Nothobranchius furzeri: one gene and its partners. The protein of the gene in region 1 interacts with the protein of each later gene in a pairwise test. Links are inferred from orthologs where the notes say so. Each region holds a gene or a part of one and is shown on either strand. Other genes may lie near its edges.

What was found.
Region 2: the proteins of eif1ad (region 1) and bend7 interact in binary tests that used the Homo sapiens proteins (3 or more experiments, as listed by UniProt). The two-hybrid records come from large-scale screens. The link is inferred for Nothobranchius furzeri from reciprocal best matches to the Homo sapiens genes EIF1AD and BEND7.
Region 3: the proteins of eif1ad (region 1) and glyr1 interact in binary tests that used the Homo sapiens proteins (3 or more experiments, as listed by UniProt). The two-hybrid records come from large-scale screens. The link is inferred for Nothobranchius furzeri from reciprocal best matches to the Homo sapiens genes EIF1AD and GLYR1.

What each region holds. Positions count from the first base shown.
Region 1 is NC_091741.1:29,807,894-29,812,138, reverse strand, and holds the start of eif1ad (probable RNA-binding protein EIF1AD), read left to right. Parts: upstream 1-1,373; 5' UTR 1,374-1,516; intron 1,517-2,021; 5' UTR 2,022-2,041; coding exon 2,042-2,128; intron 2,129-2,225; coding exon 2,226-2,334; intron 2,335-4,245.
Region 2 is NC_091744.1:72,597,905-72,600,589, forward strand, and holds the end of bend7 (BEN domain-containing protein 7), read right to left. Parts: coding exon 2,677-2,685; intron 2,605-2,676; coding exon 2,487-2,604; intron 2,408-2,486; coding exon 2,294-2,407; intron 2,218-2,293; coding exon 2,176-2,217; intron 1,779-2,175; coding exon 1,720-1,778; 3' UTR 596-1,719; downstream 1-595.
Region 3 is NC_091758.1:13,131,206-13,134,862, forward strand, and holds part of glyr1 (cytokine-like nuclear factor N-PAC), read right to left. Parts: intron 3,406-3,657; coding exon 3,352-3,405; intron 3,236-3,351; coding exon 3,185-3,235; intron 3,114-3,184; coding exon 3,040-3,113; intron 1,670-3,039; coding exon 1,570-1,669; intron 1-1,569. UniProt on the Homo sapiens protein: Cytokine-like nuclear factor with chromatin gene reader activity involved in chromatin modification and regulation of gene expression. Acts as a nucleosome-destabilizing factor that is recruited to genes during transcriptional activation.

The DNA of each region.
Region 1 (4,245 bases):
TGCTGATTTTTCCCAGGTGTCATGTTTTTTTTCTTTCTATGTTATTTAAAAGAAGCCATGTGGAGGCTTGAGGAGATTCTTTTTCTGACTTAAAGGGCAAGTCACCCCCAAATCACCTTTTTTAGCTGATAAACGAAATAAACGAGTGTCTAATCGTGCTGTAGACACGTGTCGTCAATAATTTGGCATTTCAGTGCATCTTAGTTAAAATTTAAATATTCTGCCTAAAACTGACAGTGTTGTGCCATTGTCAGGTAAAAACTCTGCACTGTATTTTGATTTAAATCTGCCACCGCTAATGGCTAAGAGGTATGCTATGATGTAAACTGGTACATTATGATGTCACAATGCTGTCGTGAGCCTGTGTGTGTATTTGTTAGCAGCTCCGTCTTCTCGGTCTGCCAGGCAACAGCATTTGTTGCATTTTTCAAACAGGAAGTGAGAGTGGAGATAGACTCTGGTAGGGGTTGACTTGCTCTTTAACAAAAAGCAATGAAATAAAAGCCTGGGTAGCATATTGGCTCCCAAGGAAGAAAAAAAACTCACTGTTCTGCAGTTTGCCTCCAATTCTTTCATCTTGAAGACCTTCTGGCTACACTACCTTCTTCTTCGTCGTGTTTATTGGCGGGTGGCATCTAACTTCTAGGTGCAGCTACACATTATTCATGCTGTCTAATCAGTCCCTTGATATGCCACACCTGTGAGGTGGGATGGATTATCTTGGTAAAGGAAAAGTGCTCACTAACACACGTAGACAGATTTCAGAACAAAATTTGAGAGTCATGGGTGTTTTGTGGGTGCAGAAAAAGTTTCAGATGTCTGAGTTCAGCTCATGAAAAATGAGAGCAAAAACAAAAGTTATGCATTTTTTCAGTGTAGTATTTGAAATTTATAAATGCATATCTGAGCTTTCCAGTAATCGGGTTTTTATGTTATTTAGTATTATTGATTTTTACTAATGTGATGACACATTTTAAAAGGTATGGTAAACTAAGGTTATGGACATATTTCAATGAAACAGGAGTGGTTAGGGTTTATGCTGTAGTAGCAATGGTTATAAATGTGGGTGATTGTGAACGTTGCTCATTTTAAAATAAAACTCAACCGTCCACAATTCAAGCCACATCAGCCCTGGAAGAACTAAATAGAGATTTTTTTTGGGCTAACAAAATAAAAGGTTTTAAATCACACAATTACCCACCTTAGTAAGACAGTGGCTGTTGGCTGATTTGTAAACTACAGTTTGATTCCTACTGTATTCATGTTTATCAGAAATCTTTCCTGTTACACGATCATTAGGTGGGAAACGAGTAAGACTCAGAAATGGGTGCTTTTATTCTGAAAACATAAGCCCCGTTAAACACCGGAAATTCTTCGGCGTGTTTCCAGATAACTCAAACGCATGTGGTTTCGCTCATATAATTAAGAATAGACTTACTAAGCTCTTTTTTGCTATACTGTTTGCTCCTACAGTCTGCTTTGTCTCACAGGACAGCATTACGTCTTCGTTTTCGAGGTAAAAGCGCGACCCGTGTAAAATATGTTACAGCGACGTAAATGCTAGCATATCCAGCTAAAAGTCACATTAATGTAAAATAGAGTAAATAAGAACACGCCAGCTCTTAAAGATATAGATCAAAAAGGTGGTTTTATGTTTTCAACGACAATTGAAAATGTGTGGTTTACGTGGAAGTTGAATACCCACTAGCTTGGTTTGAGCTAGCTTTGCTAGCTTCGCAGCACTGTTTACTTTCGGAAAACCACGTCATATTAACTAGTTCGACTTTTATGTGGCATGTTAGTATTTCACAAGGATATGTATAATGTTTCGTATTTGTTAAGTTTAAGGGTGAACATACACATGGTAAAATGTGTAAGAAGTCTATTCTGCTGATATTAGCTCAGCTAAAAGCCAAATGTAGATCAATTCTATTACCTGGTGTCTGTTTAAAGTGTGCGACAAACGTTGTCTGTATCACATAATTTATTACTTGCCTTTTGACCTCTGTCTTCATTCCTAGCTGGCTGAACTGTATAGATCATGTCACAGGCCACCAAACGCAAACATGTTGTCAAAGAGGTTCTGGAAGACTTCGTCACCCCAACAGAAAACCAGCAGATTGTAAAGGTAAACCATGTTTGCTTTTGCTCCCAGCTGCTTTAAAAACTACTCAAAGGTACCTCTCTAACTCGGATCTATATTTTGTACCTGTGCACATTCTCAGGTTATTGGTACTCGTGGTAACAACCTCCATGAAACAATCACAGCTCAGGGCGAGACCTTCCTGGTGAGCATGCCCACCAAGTTCCGTAAGAACATCTGGATCAAGAGAGGTAACTGATGAGATTTTTAAAATAAAGAAATAAATACACCTCACGCCAGTTTTGAGCATTGCTACTTGTTCCAGGAGCAAATATTTTTTTTATTCTCTGAAATCTTTCCTATTTCTCAATGTCTTTCATGATTTTTTAATGGCAGATAGGTTTTCTTTCTTTGTGTGTTGAGTCACTGAAATAACCACTGTCATGGTAATTGGTAATCAGGTTGCAGGTTTGAGCCCTGCTCAGTTTGTCGCTGCTGTTGTGTCCTTGGGCAAGACACTTAACCCTCTTTCCTGCTGGTGGTGGTGGGAGGAACCGGTGGCGCCAGTGCTCGGCAGCCTCGCCTCTGTCAGTGTAGCTGTGGCTACATCGTAGCTCATCCCCACCAGTGTGTGAATGTGTGTGTGAATGGGTGAATGACTATGTTGTAAAGCACCTTGTGGGGTATTCAAATACAGGCCATATACCATTCCCATGGGCTCAAGCAAGACTGGCAGCTGGCTTGAATAATCCCCATTTTTGATTTTCCTTTTTGTTCAGATTATTTATTGAAGTCTAGGGTGAAAAATGAAAGGAGGCAAAGAAAAGTAAAACAATGATTACTCAATAAAATTACATAAGGTAAAAATAGAGGTACAATGTCAAAAGGAGGGATAATGGAGAAGAAAACAAGTCTTCAAACAATAAAAATATTTTAAAATATATATATAAAAACAAGTCAAGTAATTATACAAAAATGGGAAAGAATTAAATACACATGTAAGTGCAAAACAATATAAAAAACAAGGAACCACAATATAAATGCTGCTTAGTAGAACGGATAAAAAATCAACTGGAGTGTTTATAATTCAATGCAAGTGAAAACAGATCTTAAGTCAATTCTCTTTATGCCAAGTTAATGTAGTAAATTCTTACTTTTGGGCAAGTGGAGTATTGAGTTAATTCTTCCACAACTTCACTTAAAGGGGCATTATGGAAGTGTGACAGCCAAAACATGTGTAGAAATAATAAATGTCTTCTTCATACATTCTCCTGCAATGCCCTGGTCCTGTAGAATGAGCCCTGGCATTTTTACTGTGATTGCCTGTTTTTCTGTAAAATCACAGAAAAAGAGAGATGCTCGGGTCGAGCAGGCTGCTTCATGCGCGTTCACGCTCAGGCATCGCCCTCCGAACCGTTCTTTGAACGTTGTTTCAGCTGTACAGGATATAAATGTTACAGATACAAAGGACGTCACTGGCGCTTTAGCACACCTAGTAAGATGTCTGACTCTCCTGCAGAAGACCTGGGTTCGATTCTGGATGTGAACATAGTTTATTTAGAGTTTCTTTTTTACATTGATATATTTTTTACAGTAAGACGGCCAAATTTTTATTTGAGACTCGCCGAACGGCATTGAATTCACAGATAAAAAAGATGTGGGTTCAACTTTTCACTTTGTCTGCTGTGCTGAAGAGAAAGGTACAGAACCAAATTATTGAATTAGCTGCGTGTTCTCCTGTCCTCTGTCCTCCGGGCCACACACACACACACACACACACACACACACAAGGGACTGTCTCAGCTGTTATTTTCGTTAAGGAGTGTGCACGTACAGCATGCGCGCCTCGTGCACGAGCCTACTATTGAAGCTGCCGTTCCGCTTTTGGCCTGAGGGGGCAATCACGAGCATAAACATTCAAAACTCCGTAAAGTCCCTTTAAATTAATGTTTCTAATTGTCAGGTTTGTTCCTGCATTTTGTTTTTCTTAAATCTCTGCTTCAATTAACCAGATTAGGTTTCTTCATGGAAAATAACAGAGGTGTGTGTGTGTGTGTGTGTGTGTGTGTGTGTGTGTGTGTGTGTGTGTGTGTGTGTGTGTGTGTGTGTGTGTGTGTGTGTGTGTGTGTGTGTGTGTGTGTGTGTGTGTGTGTGTGTGTGTG
Region 2 (2,685 bases), on another chromosome or scaffold:
CATGATTTCATCAGAGGATTGAAAAGAACAGCTTTAAGATGCATACATAAAATACTGAAAATAAATATTTACAGAGGACTATTGTTTTTTACATTACAATTAAACCAATCAATGTAAAATTAATTATAAAAAATTAATCAAATATGCATCGCTTTTGAGTATAAGGTTTGCAAACAAGGTGGATGCTGCACATTACACCCATTGAACCACTGGTCACTTAAAAGGCACAATCCACAATGGAAAAACCTCTTTCGAGATGAGTTGTCCTAACAATAATTTAATGCTGTTCATTTTTACAGCATTATGCCTTGTTCGATATGTCTGATCTCCATTATATTGGCAAATTTTCTTTAAAGGTGTAGAACACTGAAATCCCACTTTTAAGATCTTATTTTTTATTATAATCGGCCACTCTGAGATGCAGGCTGAACATGAAAAAATTCTATGCCTAGCTCCTGCATGCAAACTAGATGGTGAAAACTCAACGATTTGAAAAGACTGACAGATCTACATCACATTGTCACCAAACATTCATGGGGTGTTTCTTAATGTGAAGGAACTTTGACTTGACGTCTTGGTCCTGCCCCGGTTGCCTAAGAGAAACATCATCAGGAACCGCCAAGGTGTGTTCCAATGTTCATGTTCTACCGAGGCATCCTAGCTGAGCTGAGCAAGGATACACGGGAGGTGCCTTGTAGCCTGGCCCTGGTCAAAAATTTCCCAGAATATAGCATATATATATATATATATATATATATATATATATATATATATATATATATATATATAGTTGCCTATAGTAGTTGCAGATTCGGTTGCTAACAGGTATAAGTTGCTTACATATGTACACAATTTAAAAAGTATAAGGCTTGTTATACGTTTATATTGAAACTCATACGCATAAAATATAACGTTACCTCATGTATCACGTGACAAGACATGACCGCCGTGGAAGTTGTGGTCATGTCATGCAAGTCTGTTCCATTTAACCGTTTCCTTTGCCCAAGGAAGGACAGTGTCCTCGTAAGCGAGGCCAGGCTCCTTGACATTGAGAAATACCCATGGACTCACCCATCTTGACCACAACAGGGAAGGCTGTTGTTTATTTAACATCCAGGAAACAGCAGAGAATGTATTGGCTAGTAGAAGCTAACTGTTAGCATCAGCAACTTCACCACACAGCAGAACTCCTCCAGGCTTATATGGAAATAAAAATCAACGTTGCAAAGCAAACAGAGTCAGTGGTAGAGCTGTTTAGCTGTCCGAATTTCAGGAAATCAGACTCCAAAACATGCCGTCTGAAGCTCAGCTGTGATGTGGCTCACTTCTAGTTCCTGGAAATGGTGCATCAGTGCACCCCAAGTACGACTAATAAGGCATTCATTCCTACTGCAAACATATTGATTGAATGAGTGTTCCACACCTTTTAGGCATTTGCTTAAACCGTGAACAATAAATCACTTATTTTATTTTATTACATCAGTATTTCCTGGCACAAAATTCCAGATCCAAAAGGATGTCAATCATGGACTGCTCATTTAACACAATGTAAACCATATTTGCTCATGATGGATGCTTTCTCGTTTGGCCCTTTTATTTTCTTTTACCCATTTTACCTAATAGTTAACAGTTGCAAAATGGCATAATCCAACACTTACAGTTAGAGAAATAACGAGGACAAAAATAATCAGCTGAACTCCAGCCGAGGCAGCTGTTGAATCAACACGTTACATTCTTCAGTGTGTGTTCGTCACATTCAGGTTTCTTATAATCACAGCCTGTATAGGAAGAAAATATTGTTAGTATATAATTTAATGCTGTGAACTATAAAACAAAACAACAGCGAATTTTATGTAAGCATGTGTGGCAAGTAGAGAATTTAGATATTTGACAGCTGTGGCTACGTTGTAAAGGTGAAAGAGTGAAAACGATGCACGTTGTGAAGATAATTAGCTGACATTTTGGGAAGCTGCATGAAAATGTCAAATGTCAGCGCGAAAGCATGCCATAGCCTGGTGAGCCAATGAGGGAGCCAGAGACACCAATTTGTGGGTGTGTTGTGACAATGGAGTGAGGAGAGGTGAAGCCATTATGTGCTCTGAGGGGGGCTGATGAAAAGGTGATGTAAGATGAAGAACCAGTGCAAATGTAGGCAGTTTTGTGTGAGGTTCTTACTGGTCGATGGTCCAGTTGAGCTTTCCTCAGCTTCTGCAGCATCTATTGACCCAATAGAACAGCTTTCGATATGCAACTTGTTTATTTTACTTAAAGAAAACAAATGACTGCTTCAGACCTCGTTTCAGCCTCCTCCTTGCAAGTTTGATCTGGTCTTGAAGGATCTGCACCCAATCTCGAGGCCCTGGCAACTTCTCTATTCTGTGATTGGTGCAGTATTTTTCTGTAAACACTGGCCACAAGTCACTCAAATAATTAGAACATTTGTCTTTATTATGCCAGCAACAAAGAGTGAATTGATCTTGTTTTACCTTTAATTGCACCCACAATGTTTTGGTCCAAACCCTTACGGTTGTCATTGAGCCCACGTTTCCTTTTGCCATTTGGCAGAGAGTTGGCCAGAGTAGCGTCATCAAAGAAGGCACACACCTAAGGACAAAACACAGCTCCTGATCTTAGAAGTATGTTTAATTTTTGCTTTTTAAAATCCCAGAAGCGTACCAGTTTGCG
Region 3 (3,657 bases), on another chromosome or scaffold:
ACAAATACACACACACAGGCTCACGACAGCATTGTGACATCATAATGTACCAGTTTACATCATAGCATGCCTCTTAGCCAATAGCGGTGGCAGATTTAAATTCAAATACAGTTTTTACCTGAAAACGGCACAACACTGTCAGTTTTAGGCAGAATATTTAAATTTGAACTAAGATGCACGGAAGTGCCAAATTATTGACGACACGTGTCTGCAGCACGATTAGACACTCGTTTTAGTTTATCAGCAAAAAAAAGGTTGATTTGGGGGTGACTTGCGCTTTAACTTACTATGAATGACTACATTAGTTAAATATAAATGACTAATGACTGGAACAAAAAATGTATGTCCAAATGTTTTTTATAAAACTGGATAATGGTCACCTGTAAAGGTTCCTGAGCCTTTAAATGGTCTCTCAGTCTAGTTAAATTACAGAAATAAATGTAATTTTGCACAATATTTTAATTTTTCTAGCTTCACATAATTGTGTGTTTTAGCAGCATTTCTGTAGCTGCTAATCTAGTAATGGTTAAATAAATAAATAAAATCCTTTAAAATGACACTAGAAGAGGCACGAGCCTGATGGAGGACTTACATTTACTAACGTGGGTCAGACCCAACCACAGAAGAGCTGAAGCTGGGTGGTAAACACACACAGGTAGTTCTAATAACACCTGAGCTCCATGACGTCTGAGACTGATGCATCAGGGTTACAGCGGGACTAAAGACATGATCAGAAACAGGTTACAGCTGGATGATCTAGGAAGGTAGAAGGTCAGGACGTCTGAGCGGTGAACAGGTGAGCGGACCTTCGGCACGTCCCGCTGTCACGCTAAGAAGGGCACGGCTGCAGATCCACACCTGCAGCAGCGAATCAGCAGGTCTGCAGCGGTAGATTCATCACGTCTTCCTCGTTCTTCTCGAGCAGTGATGCTCTTGGATGAAAACATCCGCTTCACTTCACTGCACTTCAACACACCGCGCTGCTGAATTAGTAACGCATGGATTTTCTCATGAGTAGCGGAAACGGCGTTATGGTTGGATTACTCGTTGATGAAAACTAGCTTTTTAGTAACGCCATTATTTCAAACGGCTTCATTTCCATCTCTGACTGTGACGATGAAGCAGGAATGTTAAAGACATTTTAAAACGCCGGGCAGACGAGGTGGAGGTGAAACTGAAAGAGGAAAGTGCATCACATAATTACGAAAAGGGGGACATTTTTTTTATCTGTATGAATTTGCGATTTTTGAGGCAAGTTTCCACATGAGGATGAAACGAAAACGAGGACCACCTCACAGCCTGTTTCAGTGATTTTGGCATATTGGCCAAAAAACGCCAGTGGCCACATTTTCAGTGCCTCCCTATTTATAGGTGAGTACATCATTGACTGTTTGATGGACGCTGACTCCGCGCCGTCAGCCACTTCCCAGAAGTGGACCAGCCCAGGTCTACCTCCGGGAAGTGGCTGACGGATCCTGGAGTCAACACCGGGACCAACCTAAAGCTAAACATTCAGCACACAGATCTTTTACCACTAGCTGACCCCAAGCCAGATGAACATTACAGTACCTTCTCTGCCGTGCGGTTCCACACGGTGACAACATGGCCCATCTTCAGCAGGTTGGAGACAATGCCACTACCCATGAGACCCAGGCCCAGAAAACCTATCCTGCAGGACAAGAGCAGCACACTCGTCAGACAGTGGAGGTTTCGGCAGCCATCTGGGTTCAAGTCTTGGTTGTTGGAGTGAAATTACTTTTAGTCGACTAAAACTTGGGTTTTTAGTTTGACAAGTAATACTGACAGATGAATGTATAAGTCACACGGTTACACTGGTTGTTTACCAACATCATTTATTTTTAAAGAGCAAGTCAACCTCAAATCAACTTTTTTTGTTGATAAACAACATAAATGAGTGTCTAATTGCTCTGTAGACACGTTCAGTCAATAATCTGGCACTTTAGTTAATCGTAGTTAAAATTTAAATAATCTGCCTAAAACTGTCAGTGATGCACCGTCGTCAGGCAAAAACTCAGCACTGCATTTGAATTTAAATCTGCCATCGCTATTGGCTAAGAGGTACACTATGATGTTAGATGGTACATTATGATGTCACAATGTCGTGAGTATGTATTTTTTTGTGGCTCCGCCCTCTCGGTCTGCTAGGCAACAGCATTTGTTGCATTTTTCAAACAGGAAGTGAGAGTTGAGTAAGAATCTGGTAGGGGGTGACTTGCTCTCTAAGGCTAAAGGCAGAGAGAGAGAAAGAGAGTGGAAAAAAACCCCGAGCGGAGGCAGTGACCGACAGCACGAGCCGTTTTCAGCTTAGTCTTGTCAAATGCACCACGTACGTTACAAATATAGTAACTTTAAAAAGAGGCGAGCTGAAGAAAACCTAGGGAGTACCGAAGAAACGGGAGCAACAGTGAAGCACAGAGAAATCTCTCTCTGTCTGTCTGTCAGACTGAGACTGCAGAGTTTTGTGTATAGGGAGGGGCGGGCTCTATGTTACTGGCCAATCACAGAGCGTGAAGACAGTCAGTTACTCAATGAGGATTTTCCTTCAGCAACATTACAGATATTTACGAGTTTTACTCGTTTCTTGATCGTATTCGTCAAAAATGCTTTATCCGTACCGGATACTCGTCTCCGGCTCATCCCTACTTGATACCGTGTGACTGATCTCAAACATCAGTCACAGAAAAAACACCCAGTTTAAGAAACGTGTTAATGTCCAGAAGAAGCCTCGTTGCCCGTATTTCTAATCGTTTCACTGTTATTTTTTAGTTTTTGCCAAATGGGAAAAAATTAGCATTTCGAGCTTAATTTTCATCCCATCTCGTCCAAAGTGACAAAACTCATGAGAGTCTGGTCATGTTCAAGTCAGCAAAGAGCCGTTTTTAGATTTCCAGCATCTTGTTTCATTTTGACAAAAAGAGATCAGAGGGATCAATTAGTCATCATTGGTGAAAACAAGCGTGGAGTCAGGGCAGGAAAACAAAGGCCAGCGGTCTGCAGGCATGTGCGACGAGTCGGTACCTTTTATCTGTTGGTGTGATGCTGCCATTAATGGCTGTGCTGTCTGCTGCTTGGATAGAAGTTGAGCCAGTCACCTGTGTGGAGGAAGTCAACTGTCAGTGTCACCGCTTCAACAGGTAGGGTCTGAAACTCGCCCTGCGTTTACCTCTTCGATGATTTTCAGGCGTTTACTGATGGGCTCCATCGACGAGGCTGGCTGTAAGCAGAGAGGAAGGATGTGAGATCATCGTCACTGCACACGCACACACACACACACACACACACACAGCATGAAGAACAGTTCATAAGATCTTGCAGATGGTTTGGTCTCACCTTTTCAGACTGGATGAGCAGAAAGTGATGGAAGTGCGGATCGTCCTTGACCGGCTGGAACACAACAAGACGTCAGAATGAATGTGCTGTCAGCTAGCGTGGACCTAAAGGCAAGGCTTCCATCATGGTGGCTTCTAAAGCTAGAAATGCTGCTCATCTAGAACTCACAAGTTGCTCAGGGAGGAGCACCAGCCAGATTAGCCGATGCAGGTGTGAATGTGTGTGTAATGAATGAATGAATGAACCCACGGAGACATTCCTCACTCTGGTTTCACTGTTCATCTCTCTAGTGAGGACGGACGATTT